Linked DNA regions of Canis lupus familiaris. The protein of the gene in region 1 interacts with the protein of each later gene in a biochemical or structural test. Links are inferred from orthologs where the notes say so. Each region holds a gene or a part of one and is shown in the gene's direction. Other genes may lie near its edges.

The links.
Region 2: the proteins of FGA (region 1) and PLAT form a complex in vitro, tested with the Homo sapiens proteins (2 studies listed by BioGRID). The link is inferred for Canis lupus familiaris from reciprocal best matches to the Homo sapiens genes FGA and PLAT.
Region 3: of the proteins of FGA (region 1) and FAM20C, one has a biochemical effect on the other in vitro, tested with the Homo sapiens proteins (2 studies listed by IntAct). The link is inferred for Canis lupus familiaris from reciprocal best matches to the Homo sapiens genes FGA and FAM20C.

The regions. Positions count from the first base shown.
Region 1 is NC_049236.1:52,603,167-52,610,439, reverse strand, and holds the start of FGA (fibrinogen alpha chain), read left to right. Parts: upstream 1-2,371; 5' UTR 2,372-2,476; coding exon 2,477-2,530; intron 2,531-4,698; coding exon 4,699-4,824; intron 4,825-5,293; coding exon 5,294-5,477; intron 5,478-6,812; coding exon 6,813-6,958; intron 6,959-7,273. UniProt on the Homo sapiens protein: Cleaved by the protease thrombin to yield monomers which, together with fibrinogen beta (FGB) and fibrinogen gamma (FGG), polymerize to form an insoluble fibrin matrix. Fibrin has a major function in hemostasis as one of the primary components of blood clots.
Region 2 is NC_049237.1:24,200,804-24,208,115, forward strand, and holds the start of PLAT (tissue-type plasminogen activator), read left to right. Parts: upstream 1-2,286; 5' UTR 2,287-2,452; intron 2,453-7,312. UniProt on the Homo sapiens protein: Converts the abundant, but inactive, zymogen plasminogen to plasmin by hydrolyzing a single Arg-Val bond in plasminogen.
Region 3 is NC_049227.1:16,640,717-16,648,128, reverse strand, and holds the start of FAM20C (extracellular serine/threonine protein kinase FAM20C), read left to right. Parts: upstream 1-2,386; 5' UTR 2,387-2,533; coding exon 2,534-3,132; intron 3,133-4,992; coding exon 4,993-5,171; intron 5,172-7,412. UniProt on the Homo sapiens protein: Golgi serine/threonine protein kinase that phosphorylates secretory pathway proteins within Ser-x-Glu/pSer motifs and plays a key role in biomineralization of bones and teeth.

The DNA.
Region 1 (7,273 bases):
ATGATGTGATAAAATATATGATAAAATATGAAGAGAAACAAAACTTTGTTAAGGGTATGGCTGTTCTGTAAGTAAGCTGGTCCAAGAAGGCGTCTCTGAGGAGATACCATTTGAGAAAAGACTTGGATGTACTGATTCTTTAAAAAAAAAAAAATTATTTATTCATGAGACATGCAGAGAGATAGGCAGAGACAGGCAGAGGGAGAAGCAGGTTCCTCGCAGGGAGTCCCATGTGGGACTTGATCCCAGGACCCCAAGATCAGGACCTGAGCCAAAGGCAGACACTCAACCACTGAGCCACCCAGGTACCATGGGACAAAACATATTAAAATGTATTTGCCATTTTTCTGAAATTCAAATTTTACTGGGCATCCTGGTTTTTTTATGTACAGATTCTTGAGGGAATCATGGAACAGCAATAAGAAAAGCTAAAGATAGTACCTTGGAAATGCCTTGATGTGGCTCAGAACTGGGGCATTCCACCAAATGAATGCTTTCTGTTCAAACTGTTTTCTGTTAACTTACTTTGAATTCGATTATGTTCAACCGAATCACCTGAAGCCCACCAGGTTACTCCCTAGGAGCATCTTCCATATACTGTGTTCACTTCCCAAGAGGAACACTTCCTGCGAGCAGACAAGTCACCTGAAGAGGTCAGGCCTCCCTCAAGTTTCTATCCATGCCTGGCATTTTGCCAGTTTAGTCACTGCCGATTGAGAATAACTCAACTTTCCATGGAATCTCTGTCTTCCAGAACCTGGATGGGCTCTAGGGTTCCCTTTTGCAGCTGCCTCTAGAAATCCAAGAAAGCAACATCAGGAGTGAGCTTGATCAAAACCTTCCATAGAGCAAGCAGTGAAGGAGGGTGCTGCCTTATACCAGGACTTTCATGCACTTACAGCAAGCTTCACATGCCTATAGTGCCTGAGGGCATGGCGGGTCAACTTTGCCCTCATGTTTTCTTGCTCAGTGAGGGCCCATGCTTTTGGGACAACAGAAAGACCAATTAAAATATGTCCATTCTCAACACTGTGATCTAGTGAAGGATAGTACTCCTACAGTGGTAAATGCCATGAGTGGTACATGGTCTAAAGAAGTATGGAAGAGCAAGAGATTGCTTTTAATTGGAGAGATGGAATAAGGTATGATGTAAAGTGTCTAGCAAACTCCGTGGCACTTAGCAAACACTCAATAAGTATTAGGTATTACTATTATCAGAAATGACTTCACATAGGGACCAGAATTTGAGGCAAAGTAGGTTTGCCAGAAAATTACAAGATGCACAGTTAAATATGCATTTCTGATAGCACTTTTTAGTATATGTATGTCCCAAAGATTGCATGGGACAAAACATATTAAAATGTATTTGCCGTTTTTCTGAAATTCAAATTTTACTGGGCATCCTGGTTTTTTGTTTGCTAGATCTGGCCAAGGACAGTTTTCATATGAAGATGAAAAGCAGAGAAAGTAGACTGGCATGTCCAAAGACATAGACACAGGAAAGAAATGGTATTTTTTCATGGCACTTTATGTTCCCTAATAGTTGTTAACACTCACTGAGTACTTCCTACGTGGCAATCACTGCTCTGAGGGCTTTACAAAGATCAACTCATTTGTTCTTCATAAAAACATGTAATTTGCCCCAAAGCACAGAGCTGGGAAACGGTGTAATTGAGATTATGAACATAAGATGTTTGGCTCCAGGGTCTACTGTCTTCATCATATTGGATAGAGGAAAAGAATCCATTCAAGGTAACTTATAGAAGGACTTCAGGGTCAGCCTATCACTACTGTCATTTTTTGAATATTTATTTATTTTTATTTATTTATTTATTTATTTATTTATTTAGAAGAGGGGGAGGGACAGCATAAGAGGGAGAAGCAGACTCCCTGCTGAGCAGTGAGCCAGAAGCAGGGCTCCATCCCAGGACCCTGAGATCATGACCTGAGCCGAAAGTAAGAGTCAGATGCTCAGCCACCTGAGCCACCCAGGTGCCCCCACCACAGTCATTTTTAAAAAGTCAGATCATCCAACCATAATTCCTACACAAAGTGAAATATTTGCCAAATCTCTGTTTGCAGTGGGCTACTGCTAGCCTGCCTCAGCCACCCTCCATATTGTCTCAAGTACTCCAAGTACTCGAGCAGGGGTACATCTTCCTATGTTTTCCTCTTGCATTTCTAAAGTCATCCTGTTCCTGGAATGTGAGGTTGTCCTGGAATTGCCCCAAGGTACCTTTGCAACAGCTTATCAAAAGCAAACAAGCATGGGGGAATTGAGCAAGAAATTCTGGGGCACCATCCTTAGAGAAGCAGCAAGGGTTGTAGAGCGCATGTTGACTGTCTAAACAGGACAAAGATAATGATTAATCAAACCTCCTTGCAGATTTAAAAAGGATAGGAACTAAGAGTGGAGGCAGTCTTCCTTTCTTTCAGCTGGAGTGCTCCTCAAGAGCGAGCTCCACCCTTAAAAAAGATGTTTTCTGCGAAGATCTTGTGCCTGGTCCTGAGTGTGGTGGGCACAGTCTGGGTATGGCCGCCTTTACTTTCTCTTCTTGCTTTCTCTCTGGTGTTCATTCTGCAAAACGCTTGCAGGTCTGAGTCAGTCTTAAGTTTGTCCTTGCACACTGTTGACTTTATAAGCTCTAGGCCATGGAGGCAAGTTCCTAGATGAGTCTGACACCTCAGGAGTAAGAGGGAGACTTAACTGGACCAATGAATAGAAATTCACAGGGGAAGCTTTGGTATCTGTAATTCAGCCTTACAACATTGTTTATTTGTTTTGAGGGAAGAAATCTTTGCCATCTTTGTTCCAATAAAGCCTTGGGATAGTTCATGCTAGCTAACAGAAAAAAAGCATTCTTCTGATGAGAATTTTAAAAATCTAATGATTAATTTATTGCTAGTTGTCCATAATAAGCAGAACAGTGGTTTAATGTAGTTTTCTGAAAGGTTGTTTGTGGGTGTGGGTGTGTGTTTTTAAAGAAAAGCAAATTAGTTGTCTTTGAAAACATCTAAAACAATATTTTATTACATATTACATAGTCGGGAGACATTAATTGAGAAGGCAATATCCTTTTTGTGGGAAGGAATCTTTTAAAATAATTACTAAATATTGCTATAATTTCTAAAGTTTGACTCCAGAGACCTATAGAAGAGAAACTTCATTCAAGATGCTTTCGAAACCCTTAGATCTTATAAAAACATGATAAATATGTTTAAGAAACTCAATTACTTTCAGGATATGAATTATTCCAATTTTTTTCTTTCCCTTCACCACTCATAAATCCTACTATCAGAGCAAAAGAACTAAAGAGGTTTTCTAACCTAATATTCTTCCTTATAGTAAACTAATAAGTAAAAAATTTGGAAGACTAACATCATTTACTAACATGATATGTTGGATATCTCTCCCTTATTGACATAAGTATTGAATTTTGCCTATTTTTATTGTTGTGCCATTTTATTCTGAAGTATGTTTGAATTTATAATTTTATTTCTTAAAGATATTGTACTTGTTCCTTTAAATAAACTGTCCTTAATTGCTGATTTATTTATTATTATTATTTTTATTGTTAGGATACTTTAAAAAAATGAGACAGCAAATATTAGGTAATTATAAGAATAAACTAAAAAAAATTATAAGAATAAACTATTCAAGGGAGTACCTGGTTAGCTCAGTCGGTAGAGGATGTGACTCTTGATCTCTGGGTTGTGAGTTTGAGTCCCTACTGGGCATAGAGAGTACTTAAAAACAAACAAACAAAAAGAATAAACTATCCGAGATTAAAATAGTCATAGCAAAAATCCTTGGTATGTTAGTGATACAAAATAAAAATAGCTAAAACTTAAAACTTATCTTGATTTATTAGGATGTAAAGTCTAATTGGAAGATTTTTATGTCCTATTTCACTTCATAGGTCACAATAGAAATTTTTTTAAAAATCTGTATTTCTGATTAGAGGGTGCTCAAAAAAAGTTGTCAGTCCATTATTTTTCTTTCAGTCTACTCTTTTGCATTGCAAAAGGAAATTATTAAAATTTCCTTTATAATTCCTTTATATTAAAGGAATATTAAAATATTAAAATTCTTTTATAATTAAAATTATAATTATTAAAATTATAAAAGGACATTATTACATGAGCGGGTAACCTCAAAAGCATTTTCCAGTCCTTATTGGCCACATTTGTATCCTTGGTATGTTCTTGCTCAAATTACGGACCCATAAGACCGAAGTAGAAACTTGAAGTAGAGAGAAATTAAACTAAGGTAGTATAGGTTTGGTCCTACTAAAACAGAAATTATAGGAGAAAGAACTCTGAATTTTCCAAATACCCTTCCATCTCCAGACATTACTGAAAATGAAAAGGTAAATTTTAATTACTTTTGTTGATTCAAATATTTTCTCTTCTATAATAAATCCTTTAAGACACCTAGCTTCATTAAATGCTTGTTTCGTGTCCAACACAGTTAAAAAATGTCTATACCCTGTCTCCTTCAATTCATAAAACTCCATGAAGTAGGTATTTGGATTTTCAATCAAAATGTAAGAAAAATGAAGCTTGCAGAGGCCCCAGAGCTGCTGCTCTTAATCTCTGGGAGAACCCTCCCCTCCTTGGGATTTACAGGCTTGACAGTGTCTTCTCCTTATCTGCCTAATGCTGTTCTCTTTCGTGTGTATGAATGAATCCGTAAAGACCACAAATTCCAAAGAAGGTGAATTTATAGCCGAAGGAGGAGGTGTACGTGGCCCAAGAATTGTGGAAAGACAGCAATCTGCCTGCAAGGAGACAGACTGGCCCTTCTGTTCCGATGAAGACTGGGTGAGCAATGGGCATAGGGAGGGGGATAATCCTCCCCTGTGGTGCTAGAATTGTGCACAAACTGACCCAGAAAGTCACAGAAAACTTTTCCAACGGGTAATAATCTAATAACTCATTACATGCCAAATTAAAAAAGACAATTGGAAAGTAGCCTCACCATGAGAGCACTATTTAAATTACCTCCCAAACCCTGGGTCATTAGTGGGATTGATAGCTTGGATTTTAGTTGCATGTTCCAGCAAATGCCAGGAACCTGAGTATTATGGCTTCAAGATTTTGTGGAGCCTAATTTATGGTTAAGTGGACCTTCATTCCAGAATTTCTCTATGACTAGTTCTCTCAAACCACTTTTAAGTCAATAGATGATCAGAGGATGTTGGGGGAGGGCAATGGGAGCCACATGGAAACTTTTAAAATTGTACTGGATTCAAGATAGAGGCTTTAATATAATTTTCCCCTTCCCTTCCAGAACTACAAATGCCCTTCTGGCTGCAGGATGAAAGGGTTAATCGATGAAGTCAATCAAGATTTTACAAACAGAATAAATAAGCTCAAAAACTCACTCTTTGACTATCAGAAGAACAATAAGGACTCTAGTTCATTGACAACGAATATAATGGAACTTGTGAGAGGGGATTTTGCCACTGCCAACAGTAAGTAGTAACATCTGGGCTTTGACTTTATAGCGCACAACAGAGAAACAACCAAGGCCCTAAATAAATACACTGTCTCCTTATGGCAACTTCCAATTGTATTCCAAAGTACTTAAGATAGAAACACATGCCTTCACGATACCCTGAATTTTAAGGAGGGGCTTGCTTTTTGTAAAAGGAACATTAAAAAGGTCAGTTTAGAATTAAAAACAGTCAGTTTAGAATTGTTTAAAGTCATGGAACTCCTGGGTGGCTCAGAGGTTGAGCATCTGCCTTTGGTTCAGGGTGTGATCTCAGGGTCCTGAGATCGAGTTCCACATCGGGCTCCCCGCAGGGAGCCTGCTTCTCCCTCTGCCTGTGTCTCTGCCTCTCTCTCTCTCTGTCTCCCAGGAATAAATAATCTTTTTTTAAAAAAAATTGTTTCAAGTCACAAAATTAAGTCTGAACTTTGTATTGAAGACTAGAATTTATGTGTGTTCTTTTTTAAGAGTATATACTGAAAATAAGATGAGCAAAGCCTTTTGAGTAGATCTTGTTTCTGTCTTATAGAGGATGGAGAAAACTGAGAGATCAAGGGACTTACTCGAAGACACAAAGCTATCATGTGATGAGGCTGGGAGTTCAGTTTACAAACTCCATCAGGCTGTTCATGTTTTGTTTTTTTCAATTTAAGATATAGAATCATGCTCTGTATTCCTCACAGAACTATGACTAAGTCTCATTAGGACTAGGAAACACTGGATTTGCTCTTGGAATGGGAAGCAAGTTTAGTGATGGCCTAGCTCCAGAAGCTTTGACTCTTTATACCTTTAGGGACACTTGACTAATTTAAAATCAACAATGCAACAGCAATGGCAGGAGAGTGATCCTATTGACCTGAAAAAAGAAAATCTCAGGAACAATTTCAGATCTATAGGTAGGAGGGAAAACTCAGAAAATCCAAGACGATGTTTAAGTATGTTATCATATTATTTAGCAATATGTTTAAGGATATGATGGTTAAGGTTAAGGATATGATGAAATAGTTGAAATGCAATCACATTTAATCTCCTAATTATACCTTTAAAATTCCAAAGAAATTTCTTCCGCATTTATTTGGGTTACTAATTGCTAGTAGACAATCTTAACTGACAGCTATGGATGACTAAAGAATATAACATTGTCCAAACATCAAATGCCTATTAGATTGGGAACTAACATATAAAGTGTCCAGAGAACAAATTGTTATTAAAAGGGAAAGGATATTTATGAACAAATTTCCTTCTTTTGCTAGCTATTATAAGCAAATCACTTAGCTGTTCCTTCACTATCCATACTCCTTTTTTTTTTTTCCAGATAATGATAATACATATAGCCAAGTGTCAGAAGATCTGAGAAGCAAAATTGAGATCCTGAGGCGCAAAGTCCTAGAACAAGTACAACACATCCACCTTCTACAGAAAAATGTCAGGGATCAGCTGGTAGATATGAAACGACTAGAGGTAAGCGAGTATGTGGCTCTGACATCAGATTTCCTTGTCTTTGAACAGCAGGGTAAAGGAAGGCGATAGTCATTCACTGAAGGCCTACTGTATGTAGAGCAAAGTGTTACATCCATTATGCACCTACAAAGCAGGTATTATTTCCCCCACTCTACAGATGAAGAAAAAAAAGCTCAGTGATATAAGTAAATTTTCCAAGGATACACAGTTAGTACATTTCTAAAGGAAATATTAGGTCCCCGCTTGTCTTGTTCCAAAGCCCTGACAAGGCCATGCCTCTGGACCTCTAGTCGTAGTCTCACTAAGGATCAATTC
Region 2 (7,312 bases), on another chromosome or scaffold:
AAGTCCATGGTATTTTGATAAGGATTGCATTAAACGTATAAATTGCCCGGGGTAACATTGACATTTTAACAATATTAATTCTGCCAATCCATGAGCATGGAATGTTTTTCCATCTCTTTGTGTCGTCCTCAATTTCTTTCAGAAGTGTTCTGTAGTTTTTCAGCTATAGATACTTTACCTCTTCGGTTAGGTTTATTCCTAGGTATCTTATGCTTTTGGGTGCAATTGTAAATGGGATTGACTCCTTAATTTCTCTTTCTTCAGTCTCATTGTTAGTGTATAGAAATGCCACTGATTTCTGGGCATTGATTTTGTATCCTGCCACACTGCCAAATTGCTGTATCTGTTCTAGCAATCTTGGAGTGGAGTCTCTGCCCTATGACCCAGCAATTGCACTGCTGGGGATTTACCCAAAGATACAGATGCAGTGAAATGCTGGAACACTTGCACCCTCATGTTTATAGCAGCAATGTCTACAATAGCCAAACTGTGGAAGGAGCCTCAATTGTCCACCAAAAGATGAATGGATAAAGAAGATGTGATCTATATATACAATGGAATATTACTCCGCCATTAGAAACGACAAATACCCACCATTTGCTTCGACGTGGATGGAACTGGAGGGTATTATGCTGAGTGAAATAAGTCAATCAGAGAAGGACAAACATTATATGGTCTCATTCATTTGGGGAGTATAAAAAATAGTGAAAGGGAATAAAGAGGAAAGGAGAGAAAATGAGTGAAAATATTAGTGAGGGTGATAAACCATGAGAGACATCTAACTCTGGGAAACGAACAAGGGGTGGTGGAAAGGGAGGTGGGTGGGGGGTTGGGGTGACTGGGTGACGGGCATTAAGGGGGGCACTCGGCGGGATGAGTACTGGGTGTTATGCTATATGTTGGCAAATTGAACTCCAATAAAAAAAATATATATATATATATTAAAGAAAGAAAGAAAGAAAGATTTCAATAAAAATAAATAAATAAAAAATAAAGACTTTTTATACCACCTCTCCATCCCCGCTGAACCAAATTGCCATGAAAAGCATGTCCTGGCTCCATGCTCTGTACCTAACTTGGCCCTGCACTTCTCCTTTTTTATAATAGCCATTGGCAGAGCTACTGTTCCAAAAAAAAATAGAAACACCCTTTGACTTTGGGCCCAACTACCTGATTTTCCCACCTCAAAATCAGCCCTCATTGCTTGAGTACATTCAGGATCAGAATATACGGAATCTGGCCTCCCCTAGAAGAGCCTTCTCTTGTTCTCTCTTTTCCCACTGCCTTGTCTCAGCCACACACCGACCAATGATACAGATGCCATGTATGGAGCCCTGCGATTAGACATCGTTGCTCTAATCCATGCCCGTGACCTCAGCAGTGGGAGCTCAGCACGACTACAAACCCTGGCTGAGGTCACATCCCTCATTACTGGTACGGCTGGCTCAAGCCTAAGCCTCTCCCTATACTTGCAGCTTATCAGTCATTGGTAGGTGTTAACAGGTCAAACAGGTTGCCCCGTTTCCAGGAGCGGTTACATTTAAGAGCAGACTCCAGAACGGGGAAAGCTTCCCTCAGTTTAAGGGATGGATAGCCAAGGAGAGGATTCAGGTGAGGCTGTGCAGAAAAAAGGTTTAGACAGAGCGTTGGCTCAACAGCCCCATCCCCACCTTTATTCCATATCCCACACGGGGAATACTGGAGCTGAAGACCTCAGTCATCACTTTGCAGAGAAGTGCAATGATTATCTCCATGATCGTGGGGCTGAGGAGTGGCAGGGCAGGTGCCTGGTGCAGATTCCAGGCTGGGGTACTTTCCACTGCCCTGCGTGCCTTTGCTTACCGCCGCCCGCCAAGCCCGCACCCCAGGTGCTCCAACCCTGGCACTTCTGCTCCTGGAGGGAACCAGTCAACCTGTCCAGTTCTTCCAACCTCTTGTGCCCAGAGGCTCAGAATTCCTGGGGGAGATTCCTTCCGGAAGAACCCCTGGGGCCTCCTCCGTGTGTATTTGTTTCAAATCGTAAATTCTTGCTTCCAAGATAGGCTTACAGCCAGCTGATCCAGAGGGTCCCATTTAGGTCATAGTCTAGGGCTTTGAAGGAAAATGATTGTTAAGGTTCCGTCTAACTCCCAAATTCCTGTGATTCGATGACATCAGGATTGTGAATAATCCCGCTGGCCCTGAGCCAGGTTAGGCTGTGCTGCTTCCATCACAAACTTCCTCCCCCTCTTTAGGAAAACAGGCCGGGCCCCATCGGGCACCCTGCTGGCCCTGTCCAGTGGGCATCCTCCAGCCGCAGAGAAACCCGCCCACCAGGGCCCCTGACCCCACCCTCTGCCTTGAAATGTAGGCAGCCCGGAGCTGCGCGGGGGCGCTGGAGCCGAGGCCTGCGGGAGCCGCGGAGGAGGCTGCCAGGGGCGAGGAAGGACGGCGAGGAAGGCGAGCGGCGGCGGTAAGCTGAGTTCTCTGCCTCTCTGCCCGCCCGGCTCCTCTTGTCTCTCTCAAAAGTCTTTCTGGCAAACGGAGCCAAATAGAGGAATGCCTTCACGAGGGACTGACTTTGTAATTCAGGCAAAAAGCGGATTAGCTGGAATCCGAGCCCATAGGGATCCTTCTTTTTGCATCTGCATTTCATTGGGTTAGGCTGAAGCGTTTTGGAGGAGCGAGGGCGGTCAGGGGAGAGACAGGGGGAGGGTTCATTTCTTTGAAGAAGAAATCTCTGCTTGCAGGGTCAAAGGAAAAGTGAAAAGAATCAGAGAAATGCTCTGAAGAGACAATGGGAGCCCTTCATGACTAAGGGGCAAGAAAGTGGAGTCAGCTGCCCTGGCTACTGGTGGCTCTGCGAGCCCGGAGGGTCCAAGGGGGGTGTCGGGCTGCCTCCCTCCCCCAGTGAGCCCAGTAAGAAGCCCAGGCTGGGGATGGTGGGGGTTGCGCGGCGGGTCACTTGCCTTGGAGCTTGGTTACCTAGGTGGGAAGTGCTGGTGATCAAAGGACAAAAGACAGATGGGACTGTCAGAGAAAGGCCCCCAATCCCCAACCCTCCTCCCCCCTTCCCCACGTCCCCCTCATTTCAACTGGTCAGCTTGTTCCCAGGCGTTTTGCGCAGTGTGCAAGTGTGAGGTCCTCTGTAAGGACTTTTCAATTACAAGGAGGAACAGAACATCAATGCTCTTCTTCCTAAGGCACTCTGCAGGGAGCATATTAGGGCTTTCCAAATTTTCAGTTATTATCTGTATTTTCTTAACCTCCCTGGGAGGGAGGGCTGGAGGGAGCCAGGAAAGGAGGAAAACCCACTGAGCTCCCAGGTAACTAGCGAGAAACTTAAATGCAAAGAAGTGTGGAAATGATGATTTTTCTGGAGCTGAAGTTGGATTAATAATAGTGATCTCCGGTGGTGGATTGATGATGGAAAAAAATTAGATTGTGTGTGTGTGTGTGTGTGTGTGTGTGTGCATTTGCAACTCCATGAAGAGATCCTGCAAATACAACTCTGAAGTGGAGTCCCCTCAAAGGTGACTTCCTAGCAGTTCTTGCCCATGGGCAGGAAGACTCATCCTGGGATCTAGACACTGACTTGTCCAGAATCAATATATGACAGCGTGAGCCAGACTAGGTACCTGCAGAGATTTGTGAATATTGAAATAGAAATAGCTCCACACAACCCATCAATTTATTCTACCTGAAGTGTTCTCAGAGACACCAACCTCAAAGCTCTGCATCTCCTCAAGAATAAGTGGTAGCTTCTCTCCGACCAGTGGCTCAGTCTCTGTCCAGACTCCCTTAGACCAACCTAGTTTATTTTGTGATGCCTCCTATCAGATACTCCTGGTGTCTGTGCTACTGTCAGTGGCTTCCTCACACGCTGGCACAGTTCATGCAGCCAGGGAGTAGCTGAGGGACAGCAGTGCTTTGTGCTCACTGAGGAGGAGCTCTGGGACTCGGCTTCATTTCCCTGGGTCATAACATGTTGAGCAGAACCGTGCTCAGTACATTTCAAATTACTGTAACCAGCAGCCCAGCCATACCCAGTGACCATATTGATCTAAGGTTTTTGTAAGTGACTGGCTGGGACTGCAGAACATTTGGGGAAACTTACTGTCCAGGGGAGGCCTGTTACTAATCTGCAAATGGCAGCTTTTCTGGTTATGGGGTTTTATACCAACTGAAGGGCCCCTTTGATGAAGATCATCATTTGGAAGGAGCAGCACCAGCTTCAGGACTTCTGAAGCTTCTAAAATGTGGGCAGGTTATTGTCTATCAGAGAGCCAAGGGGGCAATATTGTTCACAGCAGTGGTGGTGAACTTAGCTCCAGTCGAAATTCAAAGTCCATACACTTCTCAGAGATACTGAGTGCCTGATGGTGAGGAAGGATTTAGGTTTTGAGTTGAAATGTTCAATTTTACTTGGTTATTTGGCATTGTGCATCTGCAGTCTCAGAATAAAATTTCTACTACTGTGAGTGAATTTCAGCTCTGCTCTGATAAGATGGCTAGGATGGACAATGAGTGACCAGAATATTCTATTCATTCATTTTTTTGGTTATTTACTTTGCATGGAAAAATTCTTTTTTTGTTGTTTTTTTTGTTTAAAGATTTTATTTATTTGAGAGAGAGAGAGAGAGAGAGAGAGAATGAGTGGGGAGGAGAGGAAGAAGCAGGCTCCCCATTGAGCAGGGACCCCAATGCAGGGCTCAATCCTAGGACCCCAGGATCATGACCTGAGCCAAAGGCAGATGCTCAAGTGACTGAGCCACCCAGGTGCCCTGAAAATTTCTGTCCATACTTTCAGGCTATAAGCCTCATCTTAGCCAGCCAGCTCACAAAACTGCACGGTAGTCTCAAATCAAACCGGATAAAGGAATGAAGACAAATTTAGACTCATAGAAAGTCAGAATTAGAACCTTAGAGATCATTTGCTCTGGTCCAACCCCAAGTTCAGCCACACGGCCTCCGAATACTGGCTTAGTAGTCTACTTCCATATATAAGAATAGCATATATTCTTGGTGATCTTTTGTTACATTCTCCTGCCCGAGAAACAGATTTTTGGAGAAGAGGGTAAAGCAACAGACAAGCCTCTTGATACCTGAAAAATAACATGTACGACAGAAGGGAAAAGGAAACACATGCAGGCATGCAGCAGGCATTTCATAAACATTTTTTAAAAGATTTTATTCATTTCTTCATGAGAGACACAGAAAGAGGCAGAGACACAGGCAGAGGGAGACACAGGCTCCTCACAGGGAGCCCCATGTGGGACTTGATCCCTGGACTGGGATCATGCCCTGAGCCGAAGGCATCCCTCATAAACATTTTTTAAAGAGATGACTTGGGCAAGTTCTGGTGCCTAGTATGGTTACCCAGACAATACTAACTAACTGTTCTTCCTATAAAACTAATACAATTGTGTGTCTTTAGCAGCTGCCTAACACCATCTGTGCCAACAGCCATGATTCTGAGGGTGACTCTTGGCCAGCAGGCCCAGTTTGGCTACGTGATCCTCCTGACAACATGTATCAGTGGTTTGGAGAGGTTGGTTGGACTGATCTATAAAACCTGATTCCACCCTGAACCTTGGAAGTAACCCACTTCAAGGTCAGGCTGAACCTAGATATGAGGCTATCTTTGTATTCAAAGCCTTTTCTGTTTATTATATGGTCACAAATATTCCATTTATAACCAGACATTAGGGAATCAAAACTGAACTCGTGTCCCAGAGGCTCTTATATCCCTTGGAACTCTTGGGCTTTCCAAACCATACTTCCTCCTAGAGATGCCCTGGGAGGGAGAGCCTGGGGTGTGTGAATCATATTCCTTTAGCCAATGGACGGTGTTTGTGCTGAAGAGTAAGGGGCTCTGGCTGCTTGCTGCTATCACCCTGCACCCCAAGCAACGGTCACCTCTTGGCAATATGCTCTGTCAGGAGCACCTCTTCATTTTGTTCAACAAGCAACTTATATAACATCAGTTCCAGGAAGCCTACATTGACCAGCACCTTACCTCAACAAGAGGGAGCTAGATCTCTGTCCTCCACATTCTACTAAACCCCTTCTTCTGCTGCATTTCACCTTCTATCCCTACCTCCCTGCATACCACAGCACTGATTACATTGTACTGTGATTGCCTAATTACTTGTCTGTCTTGTTCCTAAACTATGAGTTTTTGAGGATAGAACATATTTGTCTTTATACCATAGGGCCTGTGCCTAGTACAGGGTTGGCGCTCAATGAATGTCTGATATTGAATACATAGAGTTGTTAAATATTCACCCATGAATTCAAGAAAGGAGGAAATTAGATTGAGGTGGGGCTTGAGGGAGAGGTGGGTGCGGGGAGGATCTGATAGGTGGCATCCAAGGAGGACACTCAAAGAGGCCCTCAAGCCCCTTTGTTAGAGACCTTTGCATGAACACCTTGATGTCAGCTGAGGTCTTTGCAGGTAGGGAACAGGACACTCAGTAGGGAAGGGAAGCTAAGCCCAGTAACCTGCACTGAGTGATCTAAAAGGAGAAAGACTACCAGTCTACTGGATCTCTTCTGGCTATTTACATTTTGTAAATGGAAAAGAGAAACTTGTCTTATTTTGCCTTGCCATAGCAAAGAGCCAGTGTCTGCCACCTGGGCTGCAGAGAAAAAGGGAAGTTGTTTTTTTTTTTTCTTTTTCTGGGAAGCTCCAGTTTCCTAATTTTTCTCACACAATGTCTCTGGTTTTTAAACATCCATGTGGTCTGCATCAGACAGGTCTTATCAGTAGCAATGGTCTGATCTTCCAGCTGTCTTGGGTGCTAATTCCAGTTTCCTCTGAGAGTTCAGAGTAGCCTTGATATAAGTAGGTCCAGGAAAGGCAAATTAAAAAAAAAAAAAAAAGATTAAAAATAGGATAAAAGGGATACCTGGGTGGCCCAGTGGTTGAGCATCAGCCTTTGGCTCAGGGCATGACCCCGGGGTCCTAAGATCAAGTCCCACATCAAGCTCCCCATGGGGAGCCTGCTTCTGCCTCTTTCTGTGTCTCTGCCTCTCTCTGTGTGTCTCTCATGAATAAATAAATAAAATCTTTTTTAAAAAATAGGATAAAAGACATGACCTAATATCCAGGAAAGAATGGCTCCTATTAATACCGTTCTGTGCATGTAGATAAAAGGTGAGAACTTTTATATCAGTTGTGAAGAATCTGGTTGCAGGTTATCACAACATGTCGACAGGATTTAGGGAACAGTATTTGGTTACTAATGCATGACCACAATGGGGACGCCATAGAGATTAGCATCTTTCTGTCTTGGTAGCTTTTGGTTATTTTTCCAGGGAGAAGCTGTGG
Region 3 (7,412 bases), on another chromosome or scaffold:
TCCTACTTAGTGGGGCATGTGCCTTTTAGGGGAGACAGGCCATAAACAAAAACAGAAGATGTTGCCTTCCAATAGTGGTGGGTGTTGTTGGGAAAATAGAATGGTGGGACATTGAGGGAAGGGGGTGAGGATACTTTGAAACCATGTGGTCAGCGAGATAATGCTTCTTCAAGGTGATAGTTGAAATGAACCAAGGACTATGCAAGGGAGCCATCCAGTGGTGAACAGAAGTCCAACTAAGCTCCCCAAAGAATTTAGCAGGGGAGGGGCATGAAAATAAGCTCCCCTCTACATGATGTCTACGGTTCATGGGGTCAGGCCACCCCACAGCCACCCTGAGGACATGGACCAGGGGACCGCTGAAGCAGCCAGAGGCTACAGAATCCCAAGGCCAAGGAAGACGTGTGGAGCTCAGGGTCCTGCTCCCTTCGTGAAAGGGAGCCTCCATCTCAGCGTGGACGCCGTCTCCTCGGCCTCTCTGGGTAACCTTGCCCAAAGTGACCTCTTTGGCACACAAATGGCGCCGTCAGTGTGGGAAGGAGGGGGAGCTCCATCTCCAGATCAGATCCACGCTCACACTCTGCCCGTCCAACTTCCATTTCCAGCTCCAGAAGGGCTGAGTGACCTTTTCACTTACTTCACTGACCAGCTGGGCGGGGACTCCTCTTCTTCACCACAAGCAGCTAGTGGGTGCCTACTGCATGTTGGGCCCTGGGCCAGACGCAGAAGTGCTGTGAATGCAGGTAAGGGGAAACTGAAGTCCAGAGAGGGCAGGGAGATGCCCAGGCAGCACTGCAAGTGCACCAGACAGTGGGGGCACCCCGCCAGGCTCCCCACCAGAGACTGCTTCTCCACAGAGAGGCTGAAAATTCACAGTGCCTTGAGGGCATGGGGCAGACAGCCTGTTTGCTTGGCTGCGGATGTGTTTGGACTGCCTTCCCCGGCCAGGGTCACTTACACTTCTCACCAGGACTTTAGACATTCACATGAATATTCCCCACTGGGGGCCCAGAAGAGGCCACGTAGAAGTGGCCCGCCCCTGGGTATGGGTGGGTGATTCTGCGCGTAGGAAGCAAACGGCGCACACACACCAGCCAGGGAGGTGCGGCCTCTGCAAACGCCAGGTATCTCTCAGTGCCAGGCGAATCCTTGCACGGGGGCGCCCGCGCCACCAGAGTTAAGGCGCAGGCGTGTCCCCTTGGGGTGGGGTGAGGCCCGGCCGGGCGCAGGGGCAGCTCCGGCATCCCCTCCGGATTTGCTATTGGGCCGAATACCGAGCTCCTCGCGTTTCTTTCGCGGCGGCGCCGGGGCTCCCCCTCCTCCCCGGCCGGCAGCGGGGCGCGCGGGGGCCTCCCGGGGCGGGGGCGGGGGGCACCAGGTCGCCGCCCGGCGGGGAGCTCGTCCGGCGGCGCAGACGCCCCGCGGCTCCGGGGAGGGACTTGGCCTGGGCTCTGGCCCTCGGCTCATCTGGGGAGGAGCCGCGCGGCTGCAGCTGGCGGCCGCCGGCCCGGGCAGGCGAGGTCCCGCGAGCGGCGGCCCGGCCCGGGGGCACCCCCGCCCCCCAGCGCCCGCGCCCGCTCCCCTCCCGCAGGAGCCGGCCCGCTGCGCCCGCGCCCCCCGGCCTTCGTCTCTCGGGTCTCTCCGTCTTCGCTCGGCAGCCGCGGGAAGGAGGCGCCCTCTCCTTCGCGGGCCCGGAGCTGCAGAGGCGGCGCGGGGCGCGGCCGAGGGGAGGAGAAAGAGGGAGCGGAGTCGGCTCGGGTCTGGCCGTGACTCGCGGGGCGGCGTCTCCGCCAATCTGCGGGCGCTGACGCGGGGGGCGGCTCCGCGGCTCTCGGATATCTGCCGGCCCGGGCGCGGGGCGCCGAGAGGCTCCGCCGGGCGGGCGCTGCGCTCGGGGGACGGCCGCTGCACCTGCCTGGGGACTCCCCGGCCGCCCCGCGCGCCCCCCGCCCTGTGCCCGCCCCCGCCCGGTCCCCGCCGTCCTGCGCCCGGCTCCCCCCCCAGGTCCCCGCCTCCGGGCCGCCGCGGGAGGGAGACCAGCCCTGCCCGGAGGAGCCGCCCCCTCTCGGCCGGGCCGGCCCACGGAGCGGCGGAGGGGACTGCGCGGAGCCATCTCACCGCCACCCCCAGGCCGCCGCGCCCTGGCCTAGATGGGCCGCAGCGTCGGGCCCCCGCGCGCCGGATGAGCGCAGAGACCCCAAGCCGGCCGCTGCGTGCGTGCGGCCTCGCCGGGCTGCGCACCCAGCTCCGCGGACGAGGGCCGCTGGGCCCGGCCGCCGAGGGCGCGGCCGCTCCGGGGAGGCGAGGGGGAACGGCCCCCGAGATGGCCCGGCGAGCGGGCTCTTCGGCGGTGGGCGCCCCACACGTGGTGCGCGCCGGGGGACAGCCCTGGAGCTGGTAGCCGGCCGCCGCCAGATGGACCTTGACCTGTGCCTCGGCAGTGCGTTCGTGCCAAGCCAAGACTAGCCGGGGCCGGGCGGAGCGCGCCCCGGGAGGGCTCCCGGAGTCCCAGGCGGCGCTCGCCCGCGCGGCCATGAAGATGATCCTGGTGCGCAGGTTCCGCGTGCTCATCCTGATGGTGTTCCTGGTGGCCTGCGCGCTGCACATCGTGCTGGACTTGCTGCCCAAGCTGGAGCGGCGCGCCGTGCGGCCCTCGGGGGAGCCCGGGTGCTCGTGCGCGCAGCCCGCGGTGGAGGCGGCTGCGCCGGGCTGGGCCAAGGCGCGGGGACGCCCGGGGGAGCCCGCTTCCGCGGCGGGCGACGGGGGCTGGCCCAACAAACACACGCTGCGTATCCTGCAGGACTTTAGCTCCGACCCTTCCTCCAACCTCACGTCCCACTCGCTGGAGAAACTGCCGGCCGCGGCCGACCCGGCCGAAGGCGCCTTGCAGGGGCAGGATCCCGGCCGGCCCCGGCCCCGCGATCCCGCGCACCGGCCACTGCTCCGAGACCCCGGGCCGCGCCGGTCGGTGCCGCCCCCTGGCCCGAGCGGGGACAGCTCTCTCCTGGCGAAGCTGTTCGAACACCCGCTCTACCAGGTGTCCGTTCCACCGCTCACCGAGGACGACGTCCTCTTCAATGTGAACAGTGACATCAGGTTCAACCCCAAGGCGGCCGCTGAGAATCCTGACTGGTGAGTGAGGCCGGAGGCCGCTCAGGGTGGGTGCCTGCAGGCCCGGAACCCTCAAGCAGCCATCAGCCTGTGCTCCCCTTTCCCGCAGATGCCCTTGCACATCCAGGCATTGTTTAAAGAGGCGTAGGGGCTCAGGAACCCCCAGGGGGCATGGACCCCTGTGGCAGAGTCCCCACCCTGGCAAGGAGAGCTCTGTGGGGCGGGGCAGCATGGTGCCTCCTACTCAGGGCAGTGCCTTTGTCTCTGGAGTGACTGCCTCCTTGAGAAGGGCCTCTGGGTGGTTTGGGAGCTGCTCCCTGTGGAGTCAAGGGAGGGTCAGTGCTGACTCTATAGCAGAGCAGTTGCTGGCCTGCAAAGTCCTGGTCACTGGCTCTAGAAACTAAGTCAGGCAATGCATGCCCAAGCTGGCAAGGAAGCGAATGAGAGACAGAGACTGCCCCTTACCTTTCCCTGGGGAGCTGCTGGCTGCTAAGATTTTAGATTCTCGGCGACATTTCTCTAGTGGACACGTCAGGAAAGTCTGCAAAAGCCTAATGAGCCTTGTAAGCCAGCCGCTGAGAACAAAATTAGCAGAGGGGCGTGCTGGCCCCAATGAGGCATAACAAAAGGGCTCTCCCAGCCGGGGTGCAGACAGCAGCTGCCCTTGGAACGGTGCCAGCTGCGTTGGGTGACAGCTTCATAAAAGGTGAGAAGCATCCTCAGGAGCATCGCTTTAAACTGTCCTGGTTTAAACAGGATCCCCCACCCCCACCCCACGCCCTCCTCGGCCACACAGATCAGAATAAACGGATGCTACAGCCCAGAGTAGTGAAATATTAACTAGCAGCAAGGCCAGAATAAATACCTACCTGCAAAAGGTTACCCAAGGAACTCAGGGGGAAGGCCAGCTTTCCAAAACATCTTATAAAAATCCTTTCTACCCTGAAATTTGACCAGGCCCAGGCTTTTCTGTCTAAATACACCAAGGTGCTTGGTGGCCTCTGAGCTTTGTCTGCTGGCCAGGTTCAAGGAAATGCTTAGAAACTTGAGAATCAGAGCAGTGACCTAGGCCTGGGGCTCTTCCCAGGAGAGACAGCCCAGGGCTGGGGGTCAGTGATGTGGCCTCTGGAGGACAGGACCCGGGGCCAGAAGGGCCTCATCCGTAGGTGAATTAGAGTTAAGACAGGTTCCACTTTCCCTCCAGCCCAGCCGCAAATAGGCTCTGTCCTCCCCCAGACTGGCCCCTCAACTCCAGAGATGTGAGGAGGGGCCACGTGGGCGGCAGGTCCTCACTTTGGGCCTCAGCTGGAGTGAGTGCCTGACTCTTTCCTCTCTCCCCACCCAAGACTGCTCTCGTTAAAATCAAATTTAGCTTCTTGCATCATTTCTACGCTTGGTTGTTGGAACCAAAACAGAGCGTCCAGGGAAGGTTTCTGACAGGCGGGGCGTGTCTGTGATGTGCACACAGCTCGTGGTCAAAGATGGCTTGCTTGTCTGCCCCCAGGAAGAAGTGACAGCCTCCCCTACCCCAAGCTGACATAACACTTGTTGGGCTGTTTTCGTGACCCCAGGACAGACGCGGTAGGGCCTGGCACTGATGTTCTGGGCTCAGTCTTGATTTAGTTATAGCTGTCTGGGCGTCTCCCGAGGGTAAGTAAGAATTACAGTTTAGATATGTTATTAGTTAGTAGAACAACAGCCGCGGAAAAAGTACAGGGTGTCCGCAGGGTCCTGTCTGAGCAGAGGCATCTTTGAATAAATCTGCATTTGTTTAGATCCAAAGTTAAAACCTTGGCATTGGCACCAACTCCCTCTTATTCATCCAGATTTTACCACCCTGTTCTTTCCCTGCTGATTCCGGGTCACCTTCATTTTCTGTAGGCCACGTGAAGGCACTGAAAATGAAGAATTCTTGCCCACGGGGGAGGCGGCAGTGGACTCCTACCCCAACTGGCTTAAGTTCCACATCGGCATTAACCGGTACGAGCTCTACTCCAGACACAACCCTGCGATCGAAGCCCTGCTGCGCGACCTGAGTGCTCAGAAGATAACCAGTGTCGGTAGGTGCCCTCACTGTGCTTCTCAATGGGGTAGGGTCTGCTGGGTGGGGGCTGGCTTTCCTGTGGAGGAGAACTGGGAAACCATGGCTCCTTGCTGGAACATTACCTCCTGGAGTGATTTATGAGGGCAGCCTTCTAGAGGGACAAGCTTGCGAGGCCTGTAAAGGAGGGGAGGGATACCTCTGAGCAAGGCCAGTGAGGGAGGCAGAGGTGCTGTCGCGTTCTGCAGGGGCGAGGAAGGAGCAGGCACCCCTGCTGACTGGGGCGCCTCCCTCGGCACAGCAGGAAGACAGCGGGCAGAGCTCAGAGACCCGCTCTGCCCTGCTCCTGCCCCTGCCGTTTCCATGCACAGGGAGTGACCAGGGCTCAGCTCTGCTAGGGTGGAGGCCCATGCGCTTAGTAATTCAGAGGCAATATCACCGAGTACTTTGGGATCTGCTGAATTGGACAAAAAAAGGCATCCAATTACTGATTTCAGGGAAATGTGTCAGCAGCAGTTTCTGAGCACGGAGGTTTGGGGCCATTGTTCTCAGGCCTGTAGGCGATCATTTGTGAAGATCCTCATTAGTCACCGTGGCTTCCAAGAGGCAGTGAGGGATGGGCTGAGGCCCTGGGGTGGAGGGAACAGTCTGGGGGCTTTGCAGGAAGCTGGGCTGAGTTCACACCGCGGGAAGGGGTGGAGGGAGGCCAGTCGGGGTTAAGGCGAGTGTAGGCCCCCACCCTGTGCTGTGGAGCAGACAGTCCGAGACACTGTCTTCTTGGCATTCCCCTAAGCAACGCTGATGCCCTGGGGCTCGGTCCAGCTGCTGACACAGGGGAGTGCAGCTGACAAGTGGGTTTTCCAGAGCTCTTTAAGGACTGTGTTTGGCTCGCTCTGCCCAGTACTGAGGTGTCTGCTGGGCATCTACTTGCTGTGTAGCCTCTCTCTAGCCTGTGATTGCTCACCCTTGGGAAGGGGAGCGAACAGGAAGAAGCTGGTGTTTCCTCTTAACTGGCTGCACCTCCCAGACCCCCATCCTGCCTCGGCCTTCCCCGTGAGAAGCTCAGCCTCCCTCCTGCCATGCGTACAACACAGACCATCCCGTGGACAGCCACGGCCAGGGTGCCCCTTTCACTCTTGATAATAGACGAGGCCAGTATCCAGGGCGTTGACTCACTGGTTCATCCACTCAGAAGATTTTCTTGACCATCTCCTGGATGTCAGGCCACTTTCTGGGTAGCGGGTTGAGGATGAACGAACCTCAGCAGGATTGATGCTGCTGACCCAAGACGTCCGGGGGCAAGCAGGACACGAACACACAATGAGGAGGCATGAATGCTTTGAGCACCATTCACATAAAATCTAGGTGACCTCCATCTAGAAGGAGGGCATGGAGCATGTTCCATAAGAAAAGATGTCTGACCCAGGGCTTAAATGAAGTACAGGCACTTGTCATAGACAGGGATCTGGAGGGCTGGGGCTTCTGGGAAAATGAGAACATATTAAAATTAGAAATGTTTTTAGGGAAGTACAATGTTAAAGGAACCTGCGCTGCTGCTGTCTGTGGCACCTCTCTTTGCCTCAGTCTCCCCATCTGTCAAATGGGCTTGTGGCTACTCAGGTACATTGCATTTGTTCTAATAAGATGATGCATATGACCAAGCTTGTAAATATGAACTAGTTTTTTTTTTTTTTTTTTTTTGCACTGCGTGCTTGGAGGGTCACCACTCTCAAGTGCAGGGTCTGGGGTGGAGGAAGGGCTTTTGGGATTCAAGGGCTGGCCAAGCTCGCCATATCCCTCAGGGAACAAACAGCCTGCAGCTCTCCCTGGACACCCACTGTGCAGAGGACAGGGCCCAGCAGCTCAGGGAGCAGCTAGAGTGAGAAGACAGACCTCTGGGGCTCACAGGCATGTTGCCCACCCTCAGTGTCCTCCTCTCTCTGTCTCCCCAGGGGCCTGTCTTTGAGGCGCCGCCTACCCACAGTAGTCTGACTGCCCTGGGCAGTGGTGCCTAGGCTGCCTGACCACAGTGGACTGAGCCTGTGCCTGGGGATCCCATCCTGGCGGGATGCTTGGTGGTGTGACTGGGAATGTGTCCTTGCCCATTGTCTCTGGTGGGCTGTCTGTGTTTCTGCCACTCACGCCTGGACTGCCCTGGCCAAGCTGGTCCTGCCCAGTCACCATGTAGGACCTAATTGGTACTGGAAGGTTGACTGATTCATCTGTGTGTGGTGTGAGTCTGGGCAAGTGGATTAACCTC